Linked DNA regions of Kluyveromyces lactis. The protein of the gene in region 1 interacts with the protein of each later gene in a pairwise test. Links are inferred from orthologs where the notes say so. Each region holds a gene or a part of one and is shown in the gene's direction. Other genes may lie near its edges.

Region 1 (12,610 bases):
AATGGGCAATTAGCAAGTAACTAAATAGCGCAGTAATATACGCTATATTATTAGCGATCATGATTAAGACACTGAAGGATAGGGTTCAGTTGATTAACAGTTAAATATTTGCTTTTCATTCATGCAATAGCTATGCTGCCTTTTTTCTGTAAAGCTATTCGAGACGAATTTTTCCTTGTATTTATGTACCGTCGAATTTTTTTTTTTTTAAAGAGTCATGCTAGGTTCGAAATCACTGGGATATGCAGGCATAATCTCAAGTTGCTATCTTTCGGGAAATATTTCCTAAATTGGTATAAGATTGCATGGGATATGTGAAAGAATGTTTCCCATAAACAATAAGCGTGCTTGACGGAAGGAATTAGGTGACGACGGGTCGTATATACTTTGAGAGAACTAAATGAAATAGATTTTAATTGGAGATAGTTTAGATAAGAGATAAAACAGGCTTGAATGGGGTAGTAATTCCATGGTTTCAAATACTGTTGTCAGCACAACTGAAGACCGTACCATAAGCATTCGCCTGGAAATTGTAAATGATACTTTGAACGGTAGCGTATAGGCCTGGTCCCAGAACGTAGACTCCGAAAAGTATAAGGAATCCCGCTATGTAGAAACGAATTTTTTCTCCTTTATCCAAACATGGATAAGGATTAGTCTTTTCATATTTAGTTTGCTTTACCCTTAGGTATGCCATACCCCAGAATACAAATCCGAACCAGCAGGCGAACAAGGAACACATCAAAGATAATAGATCTGAGAAGAAAGGAATCACTTCTGCAACAATAAAGGCAACTATCCAAGTTAACACGATTATTCCGATCCAACTTAACCACCCGATAGTGGTATGAGAGTGCATGTGTTCTGAATTTTTGAAGACCTTGAAGAAAATGAATCTGGTTGTTATGTTAGAATAGAGAGACCCCACGAAAATGATGGTAGGCACTGCAAAAGAGTATGCTATAATCTTGTATTTTCTCGTTAAGGACCCATATGCAGGGGTGGTCATGTATTCATTACCGATATAATAGTACATTACAGCACCTGTTATTGAATAGATGACAACTTCGATTGCAGTGACAAGCAAGAACACCTTCTTGAAATCCCTCGGTCTTTTCATTTCTGAGATGAACTGTGGATAAGTGACTTGAGCAGCGAAAACGTACACAATGTTCAAAAATGCACCCATTGCATCTACATAACTTGTGCCCTTCTGTGGCCATAAACTGAATGTCAAATGAGTACCATCATAACCAACCGGGTGATCCTGGATTCCTACAAAGATGATAGCCAGTATTACCGAAATGAACATGGTAATAGCTGAGAAGTATGCAACTTTAGACATAGAGGCGAAGGTTCTTGGGATAGAAAACACAAAAGAAATGATTGCGGTAATGACACCAAATGCAACAGTACAGGTAGAGTGATTTGTGATGGTATTAAGGTACTTACCACCGACTAAGACATGCACACCCTGGATAAGGGTATTGTTGGCAACGTAACAAACAGCAGTTGCATACCATGCAAAATTACTTCCCCAAAATAAATGCTGTCCGATGTCACACGCATTTTTAAGATGAGGGAACTTTTCGCAGTAGTCTAAAATGATAAAACTGGTGTATAACACAACACCAGCAACAAACACCGTTAAAATAAGACCCGGTATTAAACCTAATACTGAATAGGACCATGGGAAAGACATCATGGCTAAGATGATGTATTCTGATAACATTAGACCTGTAATATGCTGCCATGAACTAGTCTTGTATTTAATCTGATGACCTTCTTCATCGCTTTCTTCAAAAGCATCACGGTAAGATAGGCTAGTATCATCACCGTACTGTTCAAATTCACCATCTTCCACATCGTGATTCTTGACGCTGGGTGTCTTGATCATCGTCTTATCCACCTCATAATTGTAAAAGGTCTTCCCACTCTCAGAGCCCTCAGGCTTACTTCCAAATGAACTCATCTCGATCATTATAATAGCTTGATTGCCGTAACTTTCTGTCACTTATAGGTGAAAGAGGGGAGATATTGGAAGATAGACGGTAGATTGGCCTTAAAGAGAAGAAATGTAGGTATTCTTACTTGATTTTTTCTAGCGATTCTTACTCCGATTGTGGTTGATTTGAGTCTTGAACCGGATGTTATCAAGTCTTGACAAGTAAGGTTGAGCTGAATATGGATTGTTAGTGTTAATGTTTTCCGGTATTATATTATACATTTATTAGCAGCTCGAGATGAAGGAAACATGCATGAAGCTCATCGACCAAGTGATTAGCTTGCCTATTTTATATGAAATATCGTTTTCCTTCAATCCTTTATCTCCCATGCATTCCTAAAGAGAGATAAAGTGGAGAGATTAACGTTAAGCACCTGCTTGCTATCTAGTTTGGAGTAACAGTTCATGATGTGTATTAAAGCCAGGATCTGCTATCAACAGCGACCTCAAGTTTTAAGTTTTTAGATTTCATCACAAAGCAAAATGATACCTAATATGGAAATATTTTGCGTGAATGTGAGAATTGTATTCCGAACCATTTTAGACTTTTTTATACCTCGACGATCTGCATGATCAGTGGAATTTCTCTGTTTATCTGCACGATAAGAAGAATAGCTATTCTGTTTTGTCGGCGCATTAGTGCCTGATTTCGATACCCCATTCGGGCCACTTTGTGTGGATGTTCTTTACTCAGTGAAGTGCCATATCAAGTCATTTCCCTTTATGGTGATGAAAAAAAAAAGGATTGGTACGTAAATTTGATGTCTGCTCTTGATGTTTGGTTTTATTTAAAGGAAGGATGAAGAAGTAATCACATTGTTATCTTTTACCGTTAGCCAGTAGTTCTGTAACGGCGTCTTTCATCGATATTTCATCGCTGGTCGCTGTTCTAGAGAAACGATGAAGCAATAGTGTAATATCGGTATTACTCTTATATTTAATACGTTCTTCAAATTGTGATAGAAAGTATCAGGATTGCCTGCCAAGAAAGCTTCTAGAGATACAAATAGAGTCTTTAAATATTTATGAATGGTACCAGGTGAAGACTCTTCATTAATTGCCCATAGAGGAGGCGATAGCGGATACAATACAGTGGAATCCTTGAAAAAGGATGGGGAAACGAGCTTAGAGTATGAGTTCTGGTATATGACTAAGACCTCCATCCCATTAATCATTACGTTTCTCTTGCAATGTTCATTATCGTCCTCAGCTTTGGTTTTCGCTGGAAGGGTTGGGACTTTAGAAGTTGGAGGGATTTCGATCGGAAATGTCACTTTCGCGGTCACTTCGGCTATATTTATCGGTATTGCAACATGTTTGGATACGGTTTGTCCTCAAGCGTATGGTGCAGGTAAGTACAACATGGTGGGACTGTATTTCCAAAGAGGTGTTGCCATTTCTTTCCTATTTGCCGTTCCGGTAATTGCATTTTGGTATAATTCAGAGTACGTTTTATCGTTTCTAGTGGAGGACGCTGACGTTGTCCATATCGCCGCTGTTTATTTGCGTATCATGATTCTTAGTCTTCCCGGCTATATCATATTCGAATGTGGTAAGAAGTACTTACAAGCTCAGGGAGATTTCGTAACTGGACAAAACATTCTGTTTGTCTGTGCACCATTGAACATATTGTTGAATTATTTATTTGTTCTAAAGTACAAATTTGGCTACATCGGATCTCCAATTTCTATGGTGCTGTCTTATACTCTTATGGGGCTCACAATTGTTGCATACATCTGTCGTCAAATATATTTTGGTAATTCTTCCTGCTGGCATCCGATAACTGGGAATTTCTCGGCAATTTTCAAGAATTGGGGTCCCCTTATTGCTTTAGCGCTACCAGGTTTGATCATGATCGAAGCTGAGTTTTTTGCTTTCGAGATCATCACTGTTTTAAGCGCGAAATTCGGAACGGAAGTCTTAGCTGCACAAAGTATTGTAGCGACCTTACAAACGTTTTTCTTCCAATTACCCTTCAGCTGCAGTGTGGCTGCTTCCAATAGAATTGCCTATCACATTGGTTCTGGAATCACGGAAAACTGCAAGACAGCGACGAAAGCAACTATGTTTGGGGTTGGTCCTGCTGCAGGAATAATAAATTTCACAGTGTTGTACTTCGGTCGTTACAAGTTATGTTCTTTGTTTAATGCGGACCCGGTTTTGGTAAATAAAGCTGCAGGATTACTCTGTGTCGTCGCATTAAATCAAATATATGATTGCTTCAATGTCATGGCTGCAGGTGTCTTGAGAGCTCAGGGAAGACAACGAATCGGTGGGTATTTAAACATAATGGCGTACTATCTAGTTGGGCTTGAAGTCGGTATTTTATTAGCGTTCAAATTCAAAATGGAAGTGCTCGGGTTCTGGATAGGTATCGGGGTAGGTGTCCTCTTCCTAGCTATTGGCGAGAACTATTTCGTTTACATATCAAACTGGAGAAATATTATTAGCAAATCGCAAGACCTACGCCATGAAGCGTGATCATTGACAGATTATACTGTTTTTTAAATACAGATCAAAAAAAATCAGAGAAAATATTCTAGTTCACTAGCAATTATTTAACTGGGCCTTGTATTTACATATATAGGTAAGGATACGTTCTTCTTAAGAAACTTCTTCGTGTTGATTATCATATTAGGCCGGAACTAATTATTGCCTGTTTTTCCGTTTTTCCGTTTTTTCCGATTCCTTCGTTGTTTTCCTTCAGCCAGAAACTCCAACAAAGATGCAAACATCTTCTCAAAATAAGGGTATATATAAGTGGTAAAAGAATCATGCAATTGAATAAGAATAAGAATTCGCTAATGAAAGAAATTGATCGGATATAATTAGAGTTTGACCATTCGGAAGAGAGTGTTTTTCAAATTGATTGTATTCTCTTCTCAGTGTGAGCGAGAACCATAGTCGAAAAGTGCATTGAGCCTGTCAAGAAAAATTATAAAGAAAGCAATGACCGAAGTAACGGAAACTGTTCATAAGAATGGACCATACTATTTCGATAGTAAGATCAGACTATCAGAGGGTATCAGCTATGCAGCTGAATCCAAGGCGCTCTTCTGGATTGATATCTACAATGCCTACATCCATAGAGTGACTGATATTGACGATATTTCAACTCATACTGTATGGCATGCATCAGTTGATAACTATGAGGGCTTGTACCCATTTACTACTGATCTACCAGAACGTATTGGAGCTATTTTCCCAATTGATAGAGCAGATGGTGTTGAAGAGGTTTATTTCGGTGCTAAATATGGGATTGCCAGAATGAATTACACCACTTTGAGATGGCAATACTTGGTTCACTATAGTGACAGCGGATTGCAGAAGGATTGGACAGGTTTACGATCCAACGATGGGAACGTCTCTCCAGATGGAGAAATATTCATCGGTATTATGAACGATTTCCATTGTACTGTTGATTCAGAGGACCCAAAGGGCGCACTACTAAAAGTGAACCTCCGTGAAAACATATGTGAGTTGGTAATAGATAAATTGATGATTCCCAATGCAATCAATTGGAGCCAGGATGGTACAACGGTATATTTCACTGATTCTCTAAACTTCTCGATTTACAAGTATCCGTACCAAGACAAAAATCTCATCGTGGAGGACAAGGCATTATTCATTGATATTAAGAAGTTCAATTCCCAATTCGATTCACCTGAACCTGACGGCAGTTTCATCGATCCCGATACGCACAATATCATCACAGCGGTATGGTCTACGAGTACGGTGCAAAGGTACGATACCAAAGGAGATCTAATCCACAAATGGACGTTCCCAGAGACCAATCGAATCTCTGCATGTACCTTGGCCCAAGGTCACATGTTTGTTACCACAGCAAACGAAATCATTGAAGATAACGCAAGTCCAGAGGGCCTTGGTGGATCCATCTTTAAAGTAGAGAATGTCTCGACTTATATGGGGTCCTCAAAGAGGAACCCGATTACGGCAGAGCATTAGAAGCCCTTATGATGCACGTGACATGTAAGGAGTTTGCGTTTTCAATCCCGTGATCCCCAGTTTTTCAATTTATCATATTTTACTAAGTATTAACAAACTACTGACAAAGCACTGACAAAGAATTTATAAACATAGAATAACTTATGAATGTTTATGGTTTATACGACAGCGAAACAACTATCAACTTACATAGTGTTTGTAACGTCTTAATTAAGGTGCCTTAATTGGCTGACTTTTCATTATGACAAATTATATTCGCATATTTGAGATTTATAAAATTTACTAATCTATAGCGTACTTTTGCCGTAATACTATATCTTCCTCTGAAGAAATTGAGAACAGGGTGATCAGAATTGCTCATATAGATTATTAAGTTTAAGTAAGGCTTATTGGCCCTACTTACTATGTCTATTATTAATTTTAGGTTATTGATTTGTACACCTACACCTTTTTCTGGGCCCCTTCGAACCTTTTTTTTTTTACAGTCTTCCCCTTTCTTACATGGATTGAAACTTTCAGTTTCAGGCACTATATAAATATAACTAAGGTAAAAAAGGAAATTAAGGAAGCCTTCTGCAGTTAAAGGGTTCAATTATAATAAGTTTAGTAGCTACAATTCTTTCCATCTCTTTCCTGAAAACCTCGAGAATTACTCATTCACTCACCCTAATATAACTCGGAATTATCTAACAAAAATGGCTAAGGTTGCTATTATCATTTATTCTATGTACGGCCATGTTGCTAAGACTGCCGAATACGAAAAGAAGGGTATCGAAGCTGCCGGTGGTTCAGCTGACATCTATCAAGTACCAGAAACTTTATCCGAAGAAGTCTTGAAGTTGATGCATGCTCCAGCCAAACCAGACTATCCAATTGCTTCTAAGGACACTTTGACGGAATATGATGCTTACTTGTTCGGTGTTCCAACTAGATTTGGTAACTTCCCAGCTCAATGGAAGGCTTTCTGGGATACCACTGGTGGTTTGTGGGCCAGCGGTGCCTTGCACGGTAAGGTTGCCGGTTTCTTTGTTTCTACCGGTACTGGTGGTGGTAACGAAATGACTATTGTCAACGCTTTGTCCACTTTAGCCCACCACGGTATCATTTACGTCCCATTGGGTTACAAAAACGTTTTCGGTGAATTGACAAACTTAGACGAAGCTCATGGTGGTTCTCCATGGGGTGCTGGTACCATTGCCGGTGCAGATGGTTCCAGAACACCATCTGACTTGGAATTGAAGGTTCACGAAATCCAAGGTAAGACTTTCTACGAAACTATCCAAAAGTTTTAGAATACAAAATACTCTCTCTATATGATACATAACAGTAAGATTTGGCAGATCCAGCATGTGCTTTGCACCGTGCCAGAGTACTAGAAAAAAAATATCAATCCGAAGTTTTCTGGCAGGTCTTCTGGCAAGCTTTTCGGCTTATATAACATGTATCCTACTGACATTCACGGTAACTGGTACTGTCAAATTTAATAAAAAGAGAGTAGATGCCCGCTCCGATCATGCAAGATGACTATATAATGTGTCTCGACATATGACAAGAATCGATGACACCACTATTGACTGAATCAGTGTATGGTATAGATCAAGGTAGAACTCATGTAAAATCCAGAACTGACCAAAGTGACAAAAATGAACAAAAAAAAAAAAAAATTTGTCCTGCTAAACAACGGATAATCCCTTGAAATTTAGTTGGCCCCTGGGCCAACTGAAATGTTCCAGTTCCCGTTTCATCTTCGACAAACTCAAAACGCTCCGCTACCGTGCGATTTTCTTTTCTCGCTATACATGTATAACTTGGGAAGTTAGAATTTCCAAAAATTGAAATGAATAATTAACTTGGAAACCAGCTCCATTAAAAAAAGCTAGGAGTTGTATTTCCTCAGTAAATTAATAAATTCAAACACAACAGAATATAGCGTCCGCCATACTAGGATCGGTTTATACTCTATTACCCTGTAACTTTACTTACATGTCTAAACACGGTCTGTTGTAAGACGTAAGCACCAAAGCGTCATAGACAAATTTTGCCTCCTTTTCGATCTTTTCTATTGAACAATACTGGCAAGCGGTACTCATTATTCTGTTTTCGTTTTTCTTTTTGGGAATTTAGTTTGGTTTCCTTTTCTTTTGGACTTTGGTTTGAGCTTTCAAATCCACTTTTTAAAAAGAACAAAGAACATATAGAACATATAGAACATATAGAATGTAAAGGTTTGGGGGAATAGGAAGAAGAGCAGGTTTAAGTGTGTATTCTGATTGCCTCGTTCGACGATTTTTGTTTTGTGCTAAGCATTTTCAGTGATAGTTACAATCTGCTTTAACAGAGAGAGAGTCCTTTATTTTTCCTGAAGCGATTTGTGGTATAAAGGAGAGTTAAACGATAGTGTGATTTTTCTATTTGGTCTACTTTCATTAGGCAAAATCAGATTTCTCACTATACTACTGTTGGACTGAAGGATAGCGTCTGATAACGCTTGATACCCTAGGCTTCTTTCGTTGTCTGGTTCTCAGTTTTATTTTATTTTATTATTCCATTAATTTTTTTGGATCGCAGGAATCACCTTCTACCATCCAAGCAGAGCTTACTTGATATAATTCAACCTAGCTTTTTTACTGCGTGATACACACGCGGTTGAACAAGACAGCAGAGTATAATATTCAGAAGGTTTTACCAGATAAACACAGCACGCTTTGCATTATGCAGAATAATTTAGCGGCGTATTTTGCTCAGGGGAATGCTTCTCAGGGGAATGCTACCCCGGGTAGAGTCGCATTGAACAGAAGCTCATCGAATGATGAATACGGAACAAGCAGTGTAAATAAACAAGTCCCAAATTACGACGATATGGGTCCTTCTGTGTCTATGGCGGTTCATGCTGATGACGACGACCATTTCAAGAATTCTACGTTCAATTTGAAAAGAACACGATCCATGGGACTGTTGGATCCATACATCGACGATACTCAGAAACTTCTGGCAGGTTCGAGCTCTGTTGATTCCGATAACTTCTCTAACAGTAACATCGATGGCTTGAGTAACGACCTCAATAGTGGTGACAGTAGCGGGAGCATGAATAATATTAACAACAACAACAACAACAACAACAACAACAACAACAACAACAACAACGACAACGAAAACAAAACTGATAATATCAATAAAAACAGTAATAATACTTCTTATAATGACGATAACGACGGTAATGATACTACGCTTAATGACACCGGGCTGAATAAACACAATACAACTGTTGGCGGAACCGACGAAGACTACACAGACGAAAACATGCAAGTCGATAACTACGACGATGACTACGAAGCAGATTACGATTACGACTACGACTACAAAGATGTAGAAGATTCTAATTCTCCTCCAGACCCGGGTACTGACGATTTCCTAATTCATCATGATGACAACGACTTGATGTATGAACCCAATAGACATGTGGATTACTTATCTCATAAATGGAACGAAAACGAAATATCTCAGTCATGGCGTTATATCATTTTGAAAAAGAAACGGAAGGACACAGATTTAATCAATGCTGCAAGGTTGGAAAATGCTTCCTGGAGAACTTGGTCAAAGGCTAGAAATAATCTGAAAACTGTGAATCCAGAATCTTTGAACTGGTCAAAGGATTCTGATGTAACTTGGTTATACGGTCCGATTGTAGTGGGCGATCAAAATAACTCGACGTCGTCATCAAAGCCCACTTCCAACGTTGAAATAGGAAACAATCATGCGGCCACCATGGGGTATGGTTCCGATGATGAAAATTCAAAAAGGTTGATCCAAAAGTCTCAGAGTCCCGGTCCTAAACCTATTCTAAAGAAGAGAACTGTTAGTGAAATTATCGAGGAAAACTCCAAATGGAGATTAGATATAGCAAGGCAGCACAGAAAGCAAACTAGTGACTTGCATGCTATTTTGGATCCGCAGTCAAGTCAGACAACGCATGACGATTATGATGCTATTGCCGCGAAGGTGAATGCACAATATTACAAAAATATCCATACACCGCCTGATGAATCGGTGGAATCTATTTCGCCCGTTGTGACCGAAACAAACTCGTCGATAGTAAATACCACTCCAGGTCCAATCTCTGGCTCTGTGATAGAAACCCCATCCGCAAGATCTGATCCTCCCATATTATCATCGATTCTTACATCATCGATGAAGCAAAAGCAAAAAAGGGAAAGACATATTCATTTCAATGACCGTGTCGAACAATGTATTGCGGTTAATCATAACCCCATAGACGCTAATCCTAATGATGACGAAGTCCCAATGACAAATACCGATTACCACTCTGACGATATGTCGGACGGTGCCAGATCTTCGCATCAGTATTCTGACTTTGACGATGGATATAGAAATTCAGGGGCCAACAGCGTCGAAGATTACGCCGATGACGAAGATGATGAAGACGCTGACAGCTACGATTATGATGAAGATGACGACGAAGATGACGAAGATGATGGGTTATTTATCAGTGCACATACTAGAAAAAATCGAACCAATTCGGGGGCTAGTGATGGCACAGATGTTGCAAATTCTTTAAGATCACTCTCACTATCCAAATTTCCAAACGCAACTATTAAACCACTTCCAGCCACTACTCTAAACTACGGATCTGACGATGAATATTATGATGAAGACGAAAATGAATGGTATTATGGTAACGCAGTATCACACAATGTGAATACTAGCAGAGGATTTGACTACATGTATGATTATAATTCCGTTTACACGGGGGATACATCCAACTTTGTAACTGTGGACAATTCGTGTGATATCCTCGATGTACCGGATGGCATTGGATTAGATACTCCAATACAGGACGCGAATGACGGATATATGGATGATGACTCAAGAGGGAAAATATATACATACCATCAAAGCCTTCCGGTACAAGATGATAACGATGAACATCCGGACAACGAATTCATCGCAGATTCTTCCCAACCTGGTTTCAGTCATGATGACGAAGAGCATGACGATAACGGTGAAGAACTAGAGCTTACTGCAAAAGACCCACTATCATTAAGGCGAACCTCATCTATAGGGAAGTCTAGAGCAAATTCCATTCATGATTTTATCACACCTTCCAATTCTGCATCTCCTGTTTTAAAACAGACACATAGCTTCATCACTGGAGAACCTTTATCTCAACACAATTCGACGGTAAGAAGACCACCATTAAAATCTCCTTCATCGGGTAGCTTTTTATTTGGATCTGATTCTGATTCTGAGTGATCGCTCAAGTGCTCTTAGGTATATTCGGAGTTCATTTTTTTTATTGAGGTTAAACTTAAAAATACCACTCTACCAGCATATATATTTTTTTTTCACTACGTAAATAGTATTAATTAGAAGAACAACAATTTTTCTTGGTTTTATCCATCTGCGTAGATCTCTCGCTCAGCGCTTAATGCTTCTATTGATTAACTTGCTACGGTGTTTTATTTATGTTGAGAGAGTGCGCTTAATTATATACTCAAACTACCATGTTCACTTTCTTTTAGAAGTATCATTGAATATGTAAAAACTGAAAATCGATTAAAGTTCATATTGTAAACAGATACATACACCTTTAAGATGCATAGCAAAGAAAAAGCTGTTCCAACAGACTATAAACCAGCGAGTTAACTATGCCGGATAGGTTACTGGGAAGTGAGACACCAGCTCTATCTCTAACTCCTGATAGTAGGACGCAATTAAGTCGATCTCCACTATTGGTGCCCAGTCATGCCTCAGATGATGCTAGCTCGTTGAACGATGATCTATCTGTATTATCTAGAAACAGGGATCAAATAAGGGACAGTATGTCTATGAGGCGTAGTAGTTTTGATTCCACATTCAATTCTTTTTCTACAACGATGCATACCCAAAAACACGGTCTTGATTATTCACCGTTGGTTGATAATTCAATATATGAAATTGTGATGAACACCAGATTTAAAAGATGGTTGCGGCACCCAACCACCGAGGATATTCCCCCTGTAGTTCTAAGCAAGAACGATATTAAGGATAAATGGGACAAGGATATTAATCAATACAGAGATGACATTAAAGACGAATATAGGGTGTATCAATCGACAAATAATATATCAAAGTTGAACCGAATGGAGCAAATGAGATCTATTGATCATGATAAAACTGCCCTTGGATTGCAAAATACGAAAGCCAAGGCATTTGAAGAAATACCTGAATTCTATTTTGATAAGGAGTTCAAATTAGATCACCCCAATTTCTTTCGAATGCTTCTACGAGATTTTGAGTTTGATGCCAATCAACTACTAAATGATGATGATAAAGTTAGAAATGACAGCTATGAAGAGCTTCAAGGAAGATTGGCATTCTACTTAGATACTGTTGAGGGACTCCTTGTTTCTGAAATCTCCAAGTCTATACAAAGCTTTTTTGACGCTTTGGAAGACGTCGATAAGATTAGAGAAAATGCGACAGAGACAATCAACGAGTTGGATTCTGCTGCTGAGGCCCTTGAGAGGATAAATGGGGATAAAATCTCAAAAAGAATTGAGATGATTAAAGATCTCATAAGAAGGAAAAATGTGGAAAAGTTACAACAGGGGATCCTACAAGTAAAACTAGCGAAAGAAA
Region 2 (13,306 bases), on another chromosome or scaffold:
AAGCAGTTGAAAACAAGTGGCAATATCATTAGTTCGGAGGCTGATTATTGGATACGGCACCATACTCGATTTGGTTTGTATCATTGGTGCTCCGTAAGTTTCGTACCTTATTATATATCAAACAGACAGTCTCCGAGCCTCTTCTTATAAATTTTTTCAATGGTTTAGTTTGAGTTCTCTCTTCCTTCCATTGAAGAACCTGGGTCAATGTTGGTGGTTGTATCTCATCTTTATTAAACATGGATTGTGCATTCGAATAAACACTTTTGCGAGATCTCGTTGATGGTGCTACTTCTCCTCCACCACTTACTAGATGAGACTGTTGTTCTATTTCAGCGGAGGTCCCTGACTGGAAACTGAAGGTTGATGACCTGTCATCAAAAACAGAATCCATATCTTCTAATCTTAAACCAGCAGTCTCTGGATAAACTTTTAACACACACCAGAATGACAAGTAGCAGGATACAGTATGAATCAAGTACATTCTCCAATGGATTTTTTCTTGCAAGATAGGAGTCATGATACCTACTAACCAGTTAAACAGCCAGTTTGTAGCAGTAGAAGCAGATGCCATTGCAGATCTTGCCATTGCAGGCGCAATCTCAACAGGATATAGCCATGGGATTGGACCCCAACTGTAACCGAAAAAGGCATTAAAGATGATCACGAACACGACCACTAATCTTGGAGTGGCAGCAACATTCGCCCATAATGACATGGCTATTGCAAGCAAAGAAGTTCCCATTACCAGCGCCCCGGAGAGTAGGATTGGTTTTCTCCCCCATTTATCAACTAATTTCCATGGCAAAATAGTGGACAATATGTAAATGATGGAATTAATACCTGTCATCAACAAGGCCTCTCTACCAACCCATCCAGCTTGTTCAAAAACAAGAGGCGCGTAATATGATATAACGTTGATACCGTTTAATTGAGCAAACATTTGAGAGCTCATTGCAATTAGCATCCTGGTTCTATACCGTTTAAAAGCAAAACGTAACGATTTCTTTTCACCTTCCAGTCTTGATATGAGGACTGTTTCCTTGATCAGCTTATACTCCTCATGAGCTTTTGAATGCAAAACGTCACCATCACTATGTAAGTCTGCTATGACCACCAACCCTTCAATATCATGGTCGTGATTTAATAACCAACGGGGAGTCTCAACAATAACAAACGACCCTAAAAATAACAGCAAGCCCATAACACATTGAATGAACAAGGGTAATCTCCAAGAAGTATCTGATTCTATATAGGAGCACGCATAATCGACCCAAACACTAGACGCATAACCAACAATATTTCCTGTAAACTCAATGCAAGCCAATTTTCCTCTGTTATGTGGGGGGCTAATTTCTGATTGATAAATGGGTACAATGGTACTTAATAAACCAACACCAATACCACTAATGATTCTACCAAATATCATATGACCCATTTCCCATGAAAACGTCTGAACCAATCCACCTAAAATGAAAATTAAAGATCCATATTTTATAGTGAACCTTCTACCGAATTTTTCACCAATATTGGAGACTAGTAAGGAGGAAACAAGAGCTCCAATCTCAAGAATTGAGACCATAGTACCAATAGTTGCCGCAGTTGGGTTATTGAAATAAGTCTTGAAATATGGGCCAGTGATAATACCAGACATAACACCTTGATCGTAGCCAAACAAAAATACGCCTAGTGACACAAATATCGATGTGAAGTACAATAGAGTTCTTCCCGTCAAATAAGTATCCTTAACCTGTAAGTGATCAGTGTAGCTAGGTGGAATACGTTGTTGATCTAATGGTTGAACATTTGGAGGAATTACAATTCCGTTAGTTCCGCCAACGGCATTTGGAATGTTGAAACTGTTTCTAAATTGTAGCTGATCAGAATTCTTCAAAGCAGATTCCTTGAACAAAGATGGATTTCCCGGTTTCTGCAATTCCGGAGCACCTTTCTTGTCAGTGGTGTCCAAAGGTGATGGACTATTGTCATCCTCGATATCCGTATTGACGATACCCCTGGACGAATTTTTGTTATGCCTATCTTTATCGGTACTATCAGACATGATGACGATATTGGGAGGACAGGTGTAAAAAAAAGTCAGAAGACCAGCAGTATATTCAGCCGAGCCAAAGTGAACTATCGATTGAAAGAATTCAAGAGGCTAACTTTATTCGAGTAATGTCACGAGTCTTGCTTGCAGAGAGTATCTAAAGAACAAATTCCGGGGTAATTGAAATAGGAGAATCGAATGTTAAAGTAATAACGCTCTAAATTTCAGACCCTGGTCAGCAAAACAGCACTATCGGTGAAATTACTTTGCGAGATGTGAACGAAAAACAACCTATTAAGCGTAAACAGGTATGCCAGTATTGCCTATGCTATATATGTAATTTGAACAGTCAGTCATTCCAAAGTGACTGTTTTTCAAGATCATTACGTTTCTTATGGAAACTGAACTTTTTTGTTGTCTGGAATGGCGAAAAACAAAGCGTCGATGAAGAAACGTCATTTACACGTGATGGAAGGCCGTCCACGTGATCAAATTACCTTTCAGAGAAAAATAGTGTCCACGTGAAAGGAGCCATTCGGAAAGCCACCCTTGTTACCGTCAAGGTTCCTTATGATCTCACTTCGGGATGTTTCTTTGTTCAATAAGTGGAGATAACATTCTGACACGTTAACTCAAGACGCGAAATAGCAAATAATAGAGAAAAAGAAAAAATTAATACCGTCTTACGGAACAGCAATTGATGAGCACTAAGCCACTAAATGCCCGATTCGTCCAGACGTTTGCCACCCCAAATGACTTGGTGTATAGATGACACCAATCGGAACTACTGGTGCTGAAATATACAACTTATTTGCTCTTCCGTACGTGTTAGTTTTTACCTACCGTCCATTACTTCTTGTATTGTCGCTTCATCATGAATCATTTTTCTTTTTAGTTAGAAACCTGTGGACCTTTCCTTTTTTTTTCGCATCTTTAGACAAAGACATTTCGAAGCTTTCCTTTTAGATACCCGTCAGCGAAGATAATTACCATTAACAGCATGGTTAAATCCGGGCTATCGCTGTGGATATTTTTGAGTGCTCTCAGCCGTTGCTGTAGACCAGGAAATGTCTTTTAGCATTGTTCTTCATAGCTTTCCTTATCGAGTAAGTATACTCAGTAAACTTTCTTAGACAGGCCCTTGCACAAGACGTGGCTCATCGGAATTTCTTTCATAAGCACAACCTCATTCCGTATTTGTACAGCTAGAACGCTATTTCGAAGAATGGAACATGGAAAGATTTCACTTAGTACTAACTTTTCCAGATATGGTTATCGCACAGCTTTCAAATTCCGAAGCTCTTACCAATTCCGGAAATATCCTAAGGAATCTTTCCACCTTAAGCCAGACATTATAGCTCTCTCGCTGGTGTTGCAAATTCTCCTTCTCAATAATACTAAGTAGGTTTCTCCACGAAAACACTTATGGTTTGAGAGAGCGAATTGATGCAGTAAGTTTTTTCGTAGTCGTTCCTTTTTAAGAGCGCTAATCGTTTCTATTGGTTTCAAAATTTCTTTGTTCTTGTTACCATACGGTTACGAGATTGTTTCAACAAGAAACAATTCGGTCCACACACCAGTCTAAACGTTCCCACGATGAGATCTTCAGTAATGCTCAGCCATGAAACCTCATGGTTTTCGTCTGCGTTGGCGAGTTTATATAAATGTGACAATAGAATACTCAATGTCCTCCGTTTCAAGTTCAAACTGAAAGCTTGAGTAAGGCTATAACAACACTTGTTCTAAATAAGATCAAACCATAACATCAACAAGGCTTTAATTTGACGATTTCACTCCTTATTTTGCATTCACCCAGTTCAGATTAAGCTTCATACAATACACCGTCATGAGATTAAATTACGTTTTATCAAAGACCTTAGCTCTTGCTTCCGTTGTCTCTGCTGCTGCCGTTCATAAACATCACGCTGCTGAAGAAAAAAGAGACGTTACTGTCGTCGTAACAAATTTCGTTGATCAAAATGGTCAAGTCTTGGTTGACGGGCAAACAAGTGCGACAGATGCCACAACGACCTTGCAACCAGTTACTGATATTGGTGGTGGAAAAAGTGTTGAAACTACAACGGTAACGTCATCATCAGGTTCATCTAGTTCTTTATCGGGTTCCTCAACCTCTTCCTCCGGTGGAACCAGTTCTAGTTCTAGTTCCACTTCTAGCAGCAGTGACGCTTCTAGTTCAAGTTCTGGTGAATATGGTGGTGCTTTGGGTATCACTTACTCTCCATACACCAGCAGTGGTTCTTGTAAGTCTTCAGACACCATCAAATCCGACATTCAGAATTTGTCACAATTCAGTGTCATTAGAATCTACGACACTGACTGTGACGCGATGGAAGCAATTCTATCTCAATTACAAAGCGGTCAAAAGATCTTTGTTGGTATCTACGACATCGATAACATTGCCTCCAGCGTCAGTGCAATCGAATCTGCTTTCAACGGTGATTTCTCCAAGGTTTACGCTATTTCTGTCGGTAACGAACTGATCAATGCAGGAACGAGTACCGTTTCTCAACTGAGTAGCGCTGTTGAATCAGCTAAATCTAAATTGAGTGCTATTGGCTACACAGGTGACGTTGTCACCGTTGATACCCTAGTGGCCACCGAAAACAACTCTGGTCTATGCAGTATGTCAGATTTTATTGCAGTTAACTGTCATCCATACTGGGATGGTAATGTGGAACCATCCAACTGTGGACCATGGGTGAAACAGCAATTGGACAACTTGTCTTCTACGTGTAACAACGGCAAGAAAATCATCGTCACTGAAACTGGCTGGCCAACAAAGGGTGACACTTACGGAAGTTGTGTTCCATCCAAATCAAACCAAGAAACCTGTGTCCAATCCATCATCGACACTCTAGGTTCCCAAGCCATCTTATTCACCACATACAACGACTACTGGAAGGATGCCGGTGCTCAAGGTGTTGAGCAATATTGGGGTATCTTCGGCGATAGCAGTGTTTAGACAATTTAGCAACCCCCCTCAACTAAAACACGTATCTTCTCATTATCCTTCAGTTCTCTAACTACTCCGCAAGCTTTCTACATCAAGGTATATCTTTTGGAATTTTTATATATCTAGTCTCAAACCAAATCCGCTTTGAGAATACCTAGACCCGCATACGCTTAGGCATGTACATAGATAGAATATATAAGATCTAATTTCAACTGTGCTTCGAAGAACACGCAAGTTGAACTTAACAAACCCCGGAGAATAGGCAATTCATATACTTAAAGATTGGAGGCGCGGCATTTGTCCCTCAAATGCATGGTAACCATAACCATCAATCCATTCCAATCCAAGTGGAATCTGAATTCTAGACGGAGGTCTCGAAGAGACCATCATCTTCACCCATACTTACTGATCGCACGATCGTTTCTATGAACATTCTTTCTCGATCTCAATTCCGTTACGATGATCTGGAAAGAAAAAGACGGATTTTTTCGAAAAAAGACGTTTTATTTTTATTGTTTGAATTTTCCATTTTTTTTTTTTTTTTGGCGAAGCACCTTTCCTTTTGATCTATTTTGCTTGAATGATTTTCAGATCAAATATAGTATAAATAAAATGTGTTACATGTTAACAAGTACATGAGATTTAAACTTTGATCTGTAGTTTGTACGTTGCCTTTTTTTTTGCTCTGTATAGGTTGACTCACTTGTGCAGAGTGAATATTAGCTGGCACATCTTTTTCCATTTGGTTTAGAGAGGAGGAACAGTTGTTATTTCGATCTGATATATTGAGGAAATATGCAGTTTGTGATACCGCTGCTATTATTAGTCTCTGCGATAAAACCAGTTCTGGGTCAGCAGTCTGCGGCGGAAAATGACGGAGGGATAACGGCAAGCAACGGTACAACAAGTACACTATCTCCTTCCTCATCTTTGGCGTCTTCTTCCGAAGAGCAGTCGACGTTTACCGTTATTACTAGTTCGAGTGATGGGGAAGTAAGTAGCACGGAGGAACCCTTTGTTTCATCGTCTGAAGCCCCAGAAGAGACTTCGATGTCAGAAGTGTCGACGTCTTTCATTTCAACGGATATCTCATCTAGTTCTGAGCTTCCTTCTAACACCACTACTAGCAGTAGTAGCAGTTCTTCATCCGAGTCTTCCACATCATCATCATCTACCAGTTCAAGCACAAGCTCTTCTACCAGCACTTCTAGCGATCTGGATGAAACCACAACATCATCTGAAGAGGAGACAACTTCTACATCAGTGGAATCATCGTCTGATCCGACCACCACACATCCGCCGACCACCATCACTTCGGTGATCAACGGTGTCACGATTTTGAGCGATAGGTACACTACAGTTACTTTCACACCTACTAGTACCAGCGATCCCGACAGCAGAGAAGGCCAACACACGGGACTAAGCGACAAAAATAAAAGGATTGTGATCGGTGTTGTTGTAGGGTTGGGTGTCCCGATCTTGCTTGTATTATTGGCATTGATCTACATTTTCTGCATCAAACCAAAGAGAACGAACTTCTTAAACTCAGAGGGTAAAGTGGTGACCGCATACACTTCTGGTAAAGTGTCTAAATGGTGGAAAGCATTCATGGGTAAACAAACGGACGATTACGTGACGGAATCTCCGGAATCAGGTATCGATGAACCATCAGTGTTGGCGCCAACAAGAAATAATACTGTCGGTAGAAACAACACCGATGGCCATAGAAAATCTCATTCCAACGAACTGATGTTGGATGAAGAAAAATATTACGATGATGACGGTAATGAATTGAACGGTAGAAACTACTGATCACTGCTATATTCTTTAAACATCCAAAAAAATAAAACTAAACCTATCTATCATGGTGGTGTATGTCGACTGGGTCGTCCAATTTTTTTTTCTTCCTGCATTTTACAATAAAACACGGCATGGTGTACTCCTTGCATTTGAATTCATTTATCATTGCCGAAACATTTGACTAATCCCCCTAATTATAATTCTATTTCGACCCATTCGTTTCACATACACTCTAACTGCTATTCCGATCCCCTAAACCTTACTTTTAAAGAGTCCACCTATAGTGCATGCATATCAAAAATTAAAATTGTCAGATACTTCATTATACTGTGTAAAATATATCTAAAAAATGACAGAGAGAAAAAGAAAGCTTATATGTATTCTGGAGTTGACCGAATTTAGCTGAGCACACGTATCTACTGAGCTTCTTTCAATCATCACCTTGTCGGTCTTTTAACAGTGTCACAATGTTATAATCGTACCTAACCGGGTAACAAAGGTACTCAATCATCCTTTTTCCTTAGTTTTTTTTTTAATATTTACTGTCGCTACATAGTTAAGATCTTGACTTTTTAAGATATTCGATTCTTGAAAGTTTAATATCATTTCTTTTGTATGCCTTTGGATATCCAATTAGATTTAAACAAACAAAATGGCGCTCGCGGCTAATAGCATCAACTCTGATCTCCCTCTGTCATACGTTTCATTACTTCTACACACTTTCAAAGGTTACCGGGACGATGGCTTTCTGTTTAAATCTCCGTATATTAAAAACATCATGTTTTCTTTATTATATATATTAAAGGAAACGTTTTTCCACCGTAAGTGAAATTTTCAAAAATTCTCTGTCGAAATAAAGTACATCGTAGCCAAGAGAACAAAAAAAGGACAAGACCCAGAGACAGCAAGCGTCGGCGATTTGGACTTATACGTAAATTCTTTATTGGTTCTAATACGTTCTGTTTCTCTGCTTTGCAGTTGAAGTTATTGAGAAGCTTTATCACTATCTTTGTCGTTTTTTGCGTTTCCCTTACGCCAAATCATCATCTTAAAGAGAAACCGTTGGTGGCTTTGATATACTACACATCTTTTTACTGATCTGCAGCATATATGAGTGACAATCCGTTTGAGTCTTATCTCGCACGAGACCAGCAACCGCCACAGCCCGCTGTCGATGTGCTTTCGCAGCCTAATGCCTCACTAGAATATTGCACGGTGTCAGTGGAAGATACGATAGCACAATTAGGAACTGATTTCGATAATGGTTTATCCAATCCATCAGAAATTGCTTATAGGAAATCAATTTGGGGATCAAACGAAGTCCTACCTGATGAGAAAGTATCTCTTTGGAAAAAATTCTTGTCTACATTCATTGAAGACCCTTTAATTCTTTTGTTGATCGGATCTGCAGTTATATCTTTCTTAATGGGAAACATCGATGATTCCATCAGTATTGCTCTGGCCATCATCATTGTTGTTACCGTCGGGTTTGTACAAGAATATAAGTCAGAGAAGTCATTAGAAGCATTAAACAAGTTAGTCCCAGCGGAATGTCATTTGACAAGATCAGGGCAGTTATCCCATGTTCTTGCGTCAAACTTAGTTCCAGGTGATTTGGTCAGATTTAAGGTCGGTGATAGAATTCCTGCTGATTTAAGAATTGTAGAATCTATCGATTTGTGCGTAGATGAAAGTAATTTGACAGGTGAAAATGAACCAGTACACAAGAGTTCTGGTGCAGTGGACCCTAAGAACTACTCTCATATACCTGGATCCATTATTCCAGTTGGCGATAGAAACTGTATCGGATTTATGGGTACTTTGGTCAGAGAAGGCCATGGTAAGGGAATAGTCATTGCCACAGGCAAGCATACTGTTTTTGGTTCTGTCTTTGAAATGATGAGTGGTATAGATAAGCCAAAGACTCCATTGCAGACAGCAATGGACAAATTGGGTCAGGATTTGTCCTACATGAGTTTCGTTTTGATTGGTATTATTTGTTTGATTGGTATTATCCAGGGTAGATCATGGTTGGAAATGTTCCAGATCGCTGTTTCTCTAGCGGTGGCTGCTATCCCTGAAGGTTTACCAATTATTGTTACTGTTACTTTGGCCCTAGGGGTCTTAAGAATGGCTAAACGTAAGGCTATTGTCAGGAGGCTTCCAAGTGTTGAAACTTTGGGTTCTGTAAACGTTATTTGTTCTGATAAGACTGGTACTTTGACCGCAAATCATATGACTGTTTCAAAGATTTGGTGTTTGGGCAGTATGGAAAATAAAACTAATTGTTTGGCATTATCTAAGGTGAAAGAAAGACCGATTAAAATGGAGCAAGATGTTGCTACCACTTTGAGAATCGGTAACATTTGCAATAATGGGACCTACTCCCAGGAACATCTTAAATACCTTGGTAATCCAACAGATATTGCCATCTTAGAGTCATTACAACATTTTGGTATAAATGATTGCAGAAACTCCGTCAACAAGATTAACGAAATCCCTTTCAATTCGAAGAGAAAATTTATGGCTGTCAAAACTATCGATGCCAATGATAAAGTGGTAGTATACGTGAAAGGTGCTTTCGAAAAGATTGTTGAGAAATCCATCAACTACATTGGCAGAGACGGGAAGGTGCATAAGCTGAAACCAAATGATAAAGCCATCATTAACGATGCAGCTGTTGCACTGGCTTCTGAAGGACTTCGTACACTTGCTTTTGCGGAGCTGGAGGTGAGCGCCACCCATGGTGACAAAGAATTCAATGAAGACATGGTTGAAGGCTTAACATTTACTGGTCTAATTGCTATGAATGATCCACCTAGGCCGACAGTCCGCAGTGCCATTGAAGAACTACTCCAAGGTAGCGTACATGTTATTATGATCACAGGTGATGCTGAAAACACTGCTGTTAGTATTGCTAGACAAATTGGAATTCCTGTCATCAACCCTGAATACAGTGTGCTTTCAGGTGATAAGCTGGACCAAATGACTGATGACCAATTGGCTAGTGTTATTGATCATGTTAACGTGTTTGCTCGTGCTACCCCTGAACATAAGTTGAACATTGTTCGCGCCTTGCAAAAGCGTGGTGATATTGTAGCAATGACTGGCGATGGTGTTAATGATGCACCTGCCTTGAAGTTGGCAGATATAGGTGTGTCTATGGGTAAAATGGGAACTGATGTTGCCAAAGAAGCCTCTGATATGGTTTTAACCGACGATGACTTCAGTACAATTTTAACTGCCATTGAAGAAGGTAAAGGTATTTTCAATAATATTCAAAATTTCTTGACTTTCCAATTGTCTACCTCAGTTGCTGCTCTTTCGTTGGTCGCTATTTCGACTTCTTTGAAACTACCAAATCCTTTAAATGCCATGCAGATTCTTTGGATTAATATATTAATGGATGGACCTCCAGCTCAGTCCTTAGGTGTTGAGCCTGTCGATCATGAAGTTATGAGAAAACCCCCAAGAAAAAGGACTGACAAGATCCTAACTGACGCTGTCCTCAAAAGAGTGTTGATTAGTGCATGTTTTATAATTGTTGGAACAATATATGTCTTTGTCAAGGAAATGGCAGAAGATGGCCAAGTTACATCAAGAGACACAACTATGACATTTACCTGTTTTGTCTTTTTTGATATGTTTAATGCCTTGTCTTGTAGACATGCAACGAAATCCATCTTCGAGATAGGATTCTTTGCAAACAAGATGTTCAACTATGCTGTGAGCTTATCTCTTTTAGGACAATTATGCGCCATTTATATACCATTCTTTCAGGGTATTTTTAAGACAGAAAGTCTTAGCCTGGGAGATTTACTGTTCCTCTTAACGTTAAGCAGCAGCGTTTTCATTGGTGATGAAATCAGGAAATACTATGTCAAGAAAAATAGATACTTGGACTCATATAGCTCCTCAATTGTTTAATTGGTCTGATAAAAAGTTATATATTTCATGTATTCATGTATATTAAATTGCAACGAGCATTTATATGTTACTAGTTATGGTAATATGCATTAGTGTTACTTTTATGAATAGTATATATCGGAAGCTAAAATACTCTGGAACATTTCACTAAAAGTTAATGATGTTGTTACTAGCTGCCTTCCTTAATCTGTTCATAATTGCTAGCCCTTCTTCGTTGGCTTCTGTTCCCTCTACAACAATTAGGTCTACGTTGTCTTCTTCATCAACTTTTCTCAAAAGAGCAAAAAGATTGGCTTGGATCTCCTTGCCTGTTGTACCGAGTGATTCATGTATGCACTTGCCATCTATGAAATGTTTATTCAAATGTAAGCTGTTCAAGAATGCAACCTTTTTGGCACCCTGCTGTATGATTTCCTTGTCAACTAAGCTTTTCAGTCTACCCAATCTTTCGGATGATATGATTTGCGAATCGCCTTCAGGCACCAATAAAATAACCTTAGCCTTAGGGGAATAATGTCTATATTTCATACCTGGAGTTTTGACTTTTTCATCGTCCTTGATGTTTACTTTAGTCTCTACCAGACACTCTTTCCATAGAGGTCCGCCAATGTTTAGAATATTCTCATAGGTAAAACCACCTGGCCTTAATAACATTGGCGGAGTTACAAGCCCATCGACTACAGTAGATTCGACACCAACAGAACATTTACCACCATCTAAAATAAGTGGTATTCTACCATTCAAGTCATGGAATACGTGTTCAGCGGTCGTTGGTGATGGTCTTGTAGATGCGTTGGCTGAAGGTGCTGCGATTGGGGTATCACTCAATGCTATTAATGCTCTTGCAATCGGATTAGCAGGGATTCGACACGCAAATGTTGGTTGATTTGCAGTAGTCAATTTGGATAATGTGTTTCTGTTTGAACCGTCGGGAATTGATAAGAGTATGGTAAGTGGCCCAGGCCACAGTTTTTCCACTAATGGATGATAAATCTCTGGTACATGGGAAAGAGGCTTACAATCATCAGAGATATCTGAGTATATGACACGGTTAAGTTGAGAAAGGGACGAAATATGGGTTATCAAAGGGTTATCGCTAGGTCTGTTCTTTGCCTTGTATATATTTTTTACAGATTCATCGTTCAAGGCAGAACCTCCAAGTCCATACACAGTCTCAGTTGGAAAGGCAACAGTTTCTGAGGTATCTCGTATTATACCAGCAGCTTCTAACAGGTTTTTTTCAGTTTCAGCACATGTGAATGTCGGTAAAGATCCGTCTATATGGGCACTATCTGAGAAATGTATCGCTGCAGGATCGACTTTCAGAATCCTGGTAGTTAATTTCATTACACTTCGTAGCATACACTGGGAAAAATTAGGGAGAGTAGTGTAATGTAATTGTAATATGAATTGATAACTATGACAACCTGAATTACTGAATCTTTGGTATATAAATGACCACTAGAGTCGGATTATTTAGCAGTCTTTCCAATACGATGGCCTCTTCATCATGCCAGCCAGCCTCATCTTTCAATGTTCTGCATTAAAATGCCAGCTTGAGTTAACTGCTGAAAAGGTGAAAAAGAAAAAAACTAATTCGTATATCTCATCTTGTACGAACATGACACTTTCCGTAATCCTGAGCTTGATTAAGCTCGATTCAGGATAAGACAGCACATGTTAATCATAATCCTATAGATTGACAATTGGCGTCGGAGCTTTGTAACCGTGTTGATCTGATTTGATATGCATTAGAAAATGGTGAGTTGAGGTACAAAATATATAGATCGGTATGCTCTCATATTTCCAATATGACGACTATCCCGGTTCACAACAAAACCACCTCTCAATTCGACCGAAAATCTCAGATTTGAATAGAATATCTTGTTTATAATCATTATCCACAAGGGATGCAATTTCACGACACTTCATTGAAAATAGTCAAAGGCTGCATCATAATGGCAGATACGGCTTATTGGAAAAAGCGCTTCGAATCACATGCCAGGTCAATTACAACTCATGGCGGATTAGTTACCTTTTGTAATTTACTTATCGTACGTTGCTTAAAATTCTTTACTGTTATATTTAGTATGCCCTAAAGCTTACCGACAATAAAAGAGTTAATTAGAATGACGGAGTCTTTAATTATCTGGAATTAGGTCGATTGAATTTGTATGGTAAAAAAGTCCGTTACCTACGTCTCCTAGAAATCGATCAAGAGTTTTATAAATTTGCTGGTTAGTCATACCTGGATACATCTTTTACATTTGCGGTGTTCTACGTATGAAGTGTGCCCAATATGATCAAGCAACGGATCATGTTCAGCTGTGCTTTTACCCGCTTCTTTAGCGGTGTGGCAATACGGTGAACATTTGTTAGTAGAGCAGGGGCCTATTTAAGTCACGTGCAAGTGTATTCTTATTTTGTTACCCGTATATATATATATATGTCTTGCCGGTAGCAATTGAAAAATGCTGTTCAAAATCACTTCAACATACGCATAGTAAATAAGGTTTATTGAATCTCTAAACATTGGAAAGAAATATCGGGCATTT

What was found.
Region 2: the proteins of KLLA0_F04323g (region 1) and MID2 interact in a two-hybrid assay, tested with the Saccharomyces cerevisiae proteins (2 studies listed by BioGRID, with this or other methods). The link is inferred for Kluyveromyces lactis from reciprocal best matches to the Saccharomyces cerevisiae genes PST2 and MID2.

Annotation. Positions count from the first base shown.
Region 1 is NC_006042.1:404,477-417,086, forward strand, and holds KLLA0_F04323g (uncharacterized protein), read left to right. Parts: upstream 1-6,666; coding exon 6,667-7,263; downstream 7,264-12,610. Other genes in the region: KLLA0_F04235g (agmatinase), read right to left, coding at 1-61; KLLA0_F04257g (uncharacterized protein), read right to left, coding at 476-1,981; KLLA0_F04279g (MATE family efflux transporter), read left to right, coding at 3,035-4,486; KLLA0_F04301g (regucalcin), read left to right, coding at 4,955-5,971; RPI1 (protein phosphatase regulator REG1), read left to right, coding at 8,684-11,242; VPS54 (Vps54p), read left to right, coding at 11,638-12,610.
Region 2 is NC_006037.1:278,758-292,063, reverse strand, and holds MID2 (Mid2p), read left to right. Parts: upstream 1-5,819; coding exon 5,820-6,836; downstream 6,837-13,306. Other genes in the region: KLLA0_A03223g (uncharacterized protein), read right to left, coding at 29-2,062; KLLA0_A03201g (uncharacterized protein), read left to right, coding at 3,897-5,033; Ca(2+)/Mn(2+)-transporting P-type ATPase PMR1, read left to right, coding at 7,935-10,751; SUA5 (threonylcarbamoyladenylate synthase), read right to left, coding at 10,899-12,113.